Linked DNA regions of Ovis aries. The protein of the gene in region 2 interacts with the protein of the main gene of each other region in a biochemical or structural test. Links are inferred from orthologs where the notes say so. Each region holds a gene or a part of one and is shown on either strand. Other genes may lie near its edges.

The links. The genes of interacting proteins can lie anywhere in the genome.
Region 1: the proteins of PRKCZ (region 2) and PARD6B form a complex in vitro, tested with the Homo sapiens proteins (2 studies listed by BioGRID). The link is inferred for Ovis aries from reciprocal best matches to the Homo sapiens genes PRKCZ and PARD6B.

What each region holds. Positions count from the first base shown.
Region 1 is NC_056066.1:78,710,549-78,714,197, reverse strand, and holds part of PARD6B (partitioning defective 6 homolog beta), read right to left. Parts: intron 1,714-3,649; coding exon 1,491-1,713; intron 1-1,490. UniProt on the Homo sapiens protein: Adapter protein involved in asymmetrical cell division and cell polarization processes. Probably involved in formation of epithelial tight junctions.
Region 2 is NC_056065.1:49,927,204-49,930,852, forward strand, and holds part of PRKCZ (protein kinase C zeta type), read right to left. Parts: intron 2,625-3,649; coding exon 2,572-2,624; intron 1,565-2,571; coding exon 1,376-1,564; intron 1-1,375. UniProt on the Homo sapiens protein: Calcium- and diacylglycerol-independent serine/threonine-protein kinase that functions in phosphatidylinositol 3-kinase (PI3K) pathway and mitogen-activated protein (MAP) kinase cascade, and is involved in NF-kappa-B activation, mitogenic signaling, cell proliferation, cell polarity, inflammatory response and maintenance of long-term potentiation (LTP).

The DNA of each region.
Region 1 (3,649 bases), on a different chromosome or scaffold from region 2:
CTTGAGTTCCTCCAAACCCAGAAGCAAAGATACACAATCAGTGGAATTTCAGAGCCCTGGGAGTGGTCCAAAGCTTATCAACTGGTTTGAAATAAAGTTTCGCCTTCAAGGGTAATCTCAGCCCACTCTCTGACTGCTCGCTGGGTTGGTTTACAAGCACAGTCAGGCTTTAATCATCCCACCAGTGCTGGGCTGGAGTCTGTCATGCTGCCTTTCCAAACCTCCTCATTTTCCAAAGACAAAGGAAGCAGAAGCATGCATGGCACCCATCTACAGGCAGACACAGAGACACACACGGAAGAGGCCACAAAGGCAAAACAAATCTTTTTAGGGCTTTTAAAAGTCAAAATACGTTGCAGTGCTTGCCATATACAGTGGTTATTTAAAACTTTCTTCTGCAAGACCAATTATCAATGTTTACATTCCTCCAAAATGATGACTTACTAATTTTCAGATAATTAACTAATTGTATTTTCTGTGAGAAACACCTTAGAGGAAAGCCAACAGTTAGAGGAGGCCTAGTACACGCCAAGGCTCTGCACTGAGCTCAGTTAAACCCCCAGCAATGCCATGAGATGGCACGTTCCTCCTGTAGATAAAGACACTGAAACCCGGAAGCACTGAGCTCAGTTAAACCCCCAGCAATGCCATGAGATGGCATGCTCCTCCTGTAGATAAAGACACTGCAACCTGGAAAAGTAAATAGCTTTCCGTCAAGTACCTAGTAAGTAGTAAACACAGTATTTCAAAGTTGTGACTCTTTGTGGCCCCATGAATTGCAGCCCTCCAGGCTCCTCTGTGCATGGGATTTTCCAGGCAAGAATACTGGAGTGGGTTGCCATTTCCTCCTCCAGGGGATCTTCCTGACCCAGGGATCCAACTCATGTCTGTTGCATCGGCAGGCGGGTTCTTTACCACCAGAGTCACCTTATGTACGTATACGTAAGTCGCTCAGTCGTGTCCGACTCTCTGCGACCCCATGGACTGCAGCCTGCCAGGCTCCTCTGTCCATCGGATTTTCCAGGCAAGAATACTGGAGTGGGCTGCCATTTCCTTCTGCAGAGGATCTTCCCAACCCAGGGATCGAACCCAGGTCTCCCGAGTTGTAGGCAGATGCTTTTACCTTCTGAGCCACCAGGGAAGTCGAGAATGTTTCTCTGACTCCAAAGCCACACTCTTCCTACCACATCTTTCTGAATGGACAAAATCACATTCAACGCGAAGATTCAATATATTCCTAATTTCCATTAAGAAAAAGAATCTAAAGGTTTACAAAGTAATCACAACTTTCTAAAGTGCACTTAATTAAGTGTAAAGATGTTAATAAACCAATAATATCACAGATGTCTTAACTCACTTGTTAATTTGCTAATAAGATTCACATAAAATGTCTAATTCCTTAAATTTGTGGCAAACTCTGTATATCCTATCAATGAGGAAAATTAACAACTTCTAATTCTCAAACAACTTCTCTGGATGTTGGTACTTACCCTTTTTCTGTATAAAGATCCTAAGCAGTGGGTTGGCCGTTGAAACAGCTTTGTGATAATTGTCGTCATTATTTATAGGTAGTAAATCGCCATGGATGTCTGCATAGCCTACTAAAACGTCAACATTGGGTATTTTATGAACATGTTGCAGTAATCCATAAAACTCCTCAAACTTTCCAGGTTTTGATCTTTCCAGTGAAAACCGGCGAAATTCAGCTCCAAACTACAAACAAACATATTAATTTTAAAACAGGATCCAATCTTACAAGGCATGACATAGAAAAATTCACAGATACGAGTTTCCTTTAATAAAGAAGACAGTTTCAACCACACAGTCGAAACCTCACTGAAAGTGAAAGTTGCTCAGTCATGTCTGACTCTTTTGCGACCCCATGGACTATACAGTCCATGGAACTCTCCAGGCCAGAATACGGGAGTGGGTAGCCTTTCCCTTCTCCAGGGGATCTTCCCAACCCAAGGATCGAACCAGGTCTCCAGCATTGCAGGCGGATTTGTTACCAGTTGAGCCACCAGGGAAGCCCCTAGAAACCTCATTATCTGGAGATAAAACGGCCTAGGGGAGACACAGAAATGTGCCTGCTCACTGCTGTATCTCTGAAGGGCATCCCCTTCAAGAGATGCAGGTTCGACTTAATCCCCGGGGTACCCAGGCCCCACTGGGGACTGTCCTGCAGAGTGACTCAGCTCAAACAAACCCTGTGTGGAGTCTGGATCCTGACAACAGTCTTCCCTCCTCACTCAGGCCACGGGGTAACAGAGATGAGCCTAAGTCTTTATTTTGACTGTCAGCAAAAAGCATCCAGGTTTCCTCCCCAATCAAAGGAGTAACAGCTTCATAGGAAGTGGCAGGAATTAACTGCAGCACAAGCAAGCAGGACTTTGAACTTCTTGGCAGCAAGGCGCCATATGAATGGAGGCATATTATAGGAGAAATGAGTCTAAAGACAGGAAGTGTCTTCCGTATGTTAATCTTTAAAAAAAGGGCACTTTTATTAATACATTAAATATATGTCGTACAACCGTCCAATTAATGCAAAAGTGTTTATGTGCTTGGCACAGTGCTAGGCCCTAGAGAATGAAAGGCTCGGGCCTGCACCCGAGCTCAGCAATTAGTGGGTAAAGAGAATAATTATATGAGCGGTATTAAGGAACCACACAAACAGGGAGGACGGCACTTCCATCATACCCAGTATTTATCCTCACAATTCTCATACTCACATCTGCTTCCCTACTCTAGAACCCAAATGCCGCATGATTTCGGTGGTTCTTATCTGACACGAAGGACTGGCTTCATCCAGTCCATAACAAACAGGATCTGTGACCTACTATGGAACCAGCACAGCATTTCCTCAAATGTGGAAACCTAAGAAAGATTCATCAGCCTTCCTCAAAAAGTGCCCCAGTCACACACATTTGGGAAATGCTATATAACTATAATCATGCTCTTGGGAATCACTGGGGAGACCAGTTATTAAAGGCGAGGTAAAGCCCTGGCGTTGATTAAAACAGAAAAAATTTTCAAAACAAACTGTGTGCCAAATGCATTTGACCACTGAATTCCTTTTTCCTCTAAGTATCTATTATTGGACAGTAACACTAGCTGTACTACCAACAAGGCCTTAAACATCATGCAGGCAAAGTCCCTACTGGAATTATTTGGTTACAAATGTGTCCGTTCACGTCCCCAAGGGTCCCGTGGGCTCCCTGGATTCACCGCTTTTGTTATGGCAAGTGTATCTGCCTCGCTTATACCCACACTATTTGCTAGTTTTCAATTAAAATGAAAACTCACTGAAACCACCTCTTACTTCTAATAAATTAAAAGTTTCCGAAACACATTCCTCAAACGTAAACACTAACATTTGTCAAGAAAATAAGGTGACTCACACCTAAAGCACTCAAAAAGTTTAGTCACACCTTCACGTTTCAAAGTAAATAAAAACTGAGGAACACCCTTCATATCAGAGTCAGTCTTATGATGTTATCAAAAGTCATAGTTTCTCCTCCATTTTCTTTATTCTGGTATCGCAACATCCCAGTGCATTCTGATTCATCCCCAGGTTTTATTACTTCCCCTGGTGAACGGGAGTAACAGCTAATAATTGAATATTTTAGGGCTGCAATGTTTTTGCTAAAGC
Region 2 (3,649 bases):
ATCTGTCAGCTCCTAGTGTCTCATTCTCCTGAGACCACCTCAAAGTCCAGGCTCCAGCCCTGGCCCTGGCTATGTGATGATGCCAGGATCAACCACAGCAGTAACCCTCCCTGGAGACCTCTCCTCTCAGCATTCTAGAAACTGCCCCACCCCCAAAGACACCATCAACCCTCCAGCCAGCCATGCACGGGGCGGGGACTTGGAATCACCTTGCAGGGCTGTGACCAGCAGTGAAGACGCTGGCTGAGCCCCATACATCCCCAGGGCTCCGCTTCCTCAGCTGACAGGCAGGGTTGCACCAGCTCAGTTGTGAGCTCAGCACCAGGGGCTGGCAGCCAGCTGGGCGGTGTGTGCACTGCACAAACGCACTTGTTGGGAGGGCAGGTGGGGACTTGGTGGAGCCCTGGCTCTGCCCTCTGAGCTGCAAGCCTGGGCAGCCCTGCCGTGGCCCCCACTCCACGTGTATCAAGTCATCTCACAGTGACATCATCATTGCTCCCTCTGAAGTCACTCTCTGCTTCTAAGGGACGTAACCCCCGTTCAGGGATCAAAGAATAGATCAAAAGTACACAGAGCCAAGAAGCCCATGAAAAGGTGCTGAAAGCCTGTCAAAGCCACTAAACACCTGCTAGGACAGCGATAATCAAAATAGAGAACACAGCCAGTATTGGCAAGAATGGGCAGAAGTGGGACCCTCGTGCATTGCTGGTGGGAACGTAAAACGACACCGGGGAAGACGGTTCAGTTGTTCCTCAGAGTGAAACACAAAAAGACCCTACGACCTGGCAGTCCCCTCCCGGGTGAACACCCAGAGGAGTAAAAACAGGGACTCAGACAGCTGCACAGACGTTCACCGCACCTGGAAATGGAGACAAGCCACATGCTTATCAGGGATGGACACACATGCCAAACGGGGCCTGTCCGTAAAACAGAACACAACTGAGGCCTAGAAAAGATGGAGGAGGTGCCGCGCCTCGATATACTTGGATGGACCGTGAGAATGAGATGCTCCGTCAGAGAAGCCAGACACAGAAGGTCCCACAGCGCATGGTTCCATTTACATGCAGAGTCCAGAACAGGCAAATGCACAGAGACAGAAGCGGCCGGGCGGCTGTGGGGCTGGAAGAGACTGGGGAGAGACTGCTCACGGGGAGGAAGTGTCGTGGGCTGGGCGGTAGTGATGGTTACCCAATACCGTGAATGCGCTAAAAGTCACTAAGCTGCACACTGGAAAGCGGGAAAAGCATCCATTTTGTTCTGTGCACTTACTTGCACGCAGAGGAGCAGACAGGGAGGCCTGGAGTGCTGTGGGCCATGTGTCACAGAGTTGGACACGACCTGGCAACTGAACAACGGGGAACACAGGCAGTCTCACCTCGTCGTCATGGACCAGCTCCTTCTTTACCACCTTCATGGCATAGACCTGGTCGTTCTTCTTCAGCCGTACCAGCAGGACCTTGGCGTAGCTCCCGCGCCCGATGACCCTGATCAGGTCGAAGTCCTGCAGCCCGAGCCCCTGAGATATCTTGATCCCGTCCATCCCGTCGATGACTGGCTTGAGGTCCTGATAGGGGTGGACAAGATGGGAGGAAGCGGGAGGGGACTCATCACCCATGGCCTCCCCACCTAGGAGCAGACCCCTAGAGCTCCTGATGGAAGGAGCAGAGATCCAGGAGCCATCACCAGTCAGGTGGCCCCTCTGTGAGCCAGGAGGGATGCTCAGGGCCAGCCTGCCCTGACTGCCAAGGAGGTGACCATGGGCTCACACACCCCAGGGCCGTTGGTGCTGGGATCAGAAGCTCACCTGGCCCTCCCCGGGTGGCACAAAGCATAACCTGCTAATGCCTCGGGAGACACGCCACAGCAAGCGTCACTAGAAGCGACCGTTGACGGCAGGGAGAGGCCACATGCGCCCCTCCTGAGGACTCTCTCTGAAGAGGATTCTGTGCTGGAGGAAGGGTAACTGAGCGCTCCTGACTCATTCCAGACACAGATGACCAGGGAGAAAGAGCTCAAGTCCAGAAGGGACAAGGACCTTGGAAAAGGTGTGGCCTCCCCAGGTGCTGCGAGGAGGTTCCGTGGATGGAAGCTCCAGCTGGAACGCCCTCGCACGGGACCAAACTTCTCAGAGCCTCATTTATCATCCAGAGTCAAACTGATGTTGTGGTTGGTAATACAAAGTCCCTACTTGTTCCAGGGCCCCATTCCTGGCATGGAGCTCCTAAGCCCAGGGGGTTCCAGGTGCAGAGAGCCAGCAAAATGCTCCTTTGTCATGTTAATGAAGCGCCTCCGCAGGAAGCCTCTAGGTCACCTGAGGGTGCCAGGGGAACCAGTCCTGGGATTAGAGGACCAGTCCCACCTCCTGTTTGGCAATTGCCTCTGTGCTTAATGTCTCTTAAGACTTCTCAGACCTGTGACCCCGATGCCTTGATGTATGCAACCCCCGGTGCCCACCAGGCCGCGTCTCCCCAGACACTCCTAGTTCACCTTTGAGTTCCCACAGTGGCCCCAGAAACGAGCTGATGGACCTCTATAACAGACACAGACACTGACGAGCCATTTCCTACTCACCTCAGAATCATCTTTAATGTTGTCATGTTTCCGGGTTGAAGAAATATAAGCAACTGGGGAGGAGGAAGAAAAAGCGGGGTGGAGGGCGTGTCAGGCATTGTCAGGGATGTGGCCCAAGACCCAGGGACCCCCACGGCCTCTGCCCCTCTGTGGACATGCAGTGCCAGGCCAGGCCAGGCCACCTGCTGCTCAGGGGGAAGGCCTGGAGCAGCTGCTTCTGCCTCAACTAGAGAGGTGGGAGAACAGTTTCCAGAGCCCACCCCCACCAGCTGACTCTCAGCTTCTGGGGCCGAGGCCTGGGAATCTGCATTTGTGACAACTTTCCCTCATGGTTCTTCTAGAAGTGAGTGGGCAGAAGGGTTTGATGTTGAGCTTTCCAGTCTCTATTCTCAAGGTGTGCAGATGGGTGGGTAGACAGTGGGCAGGTGGATGGATCGTGGGTGGATGGTGGGGGTGGGTGTAGAGTGGGTAGATATGTATAGATGGTGGGTGGGTGGGTGAATGGTGGACGTGTGTGGATGGTAGGGGTGGGTGGTGGGTGGAGCGTGTGTGGATGGTGGGTGGGTGCATGTGTGTGGATGGTGGGTGGGTGGGTGTGTGTGGATGGTGGGTGTGTGTGGATGGTGGGTGGGTGGTGGGTGGGGGTGGATGGTGGTTGGGTGGATGTGTGTGGATGGTGGGGGTGAGTGGAGGGTGGGTGGATGTGTGTGGATGGTGGATGTGTGTGGATGGTGGGTGGGTGGTGGGTGGGGGTGGATGGTGGTTGGGTGGATGTGTGTGGATGGTGGGGGTGAGTGGAGGGTGGGTGGATGTGTGTGGATGGTGGGGGTGAGTGGCGGGTGGACGTGTGTGGATGGTGGATGGTTGGTGAGGGTGGATGGCGGGTGGGTGGATGTGTGGATGGTGGGGGTGGGTGGCGGGTGGACGTGTGTGGATGGTAGGTGGGTGGGTGGTGGGGTGGATGTGGGTGGTCAGGTGGGTGGATGTGTGTGGATGGTGGGGTGGGTGGAGAGTGAGTGGATGTGTGTGGATGGTGGGTGGGTGGGTGGTGGGTGGACATGGGTGGACAGGTGGGTGG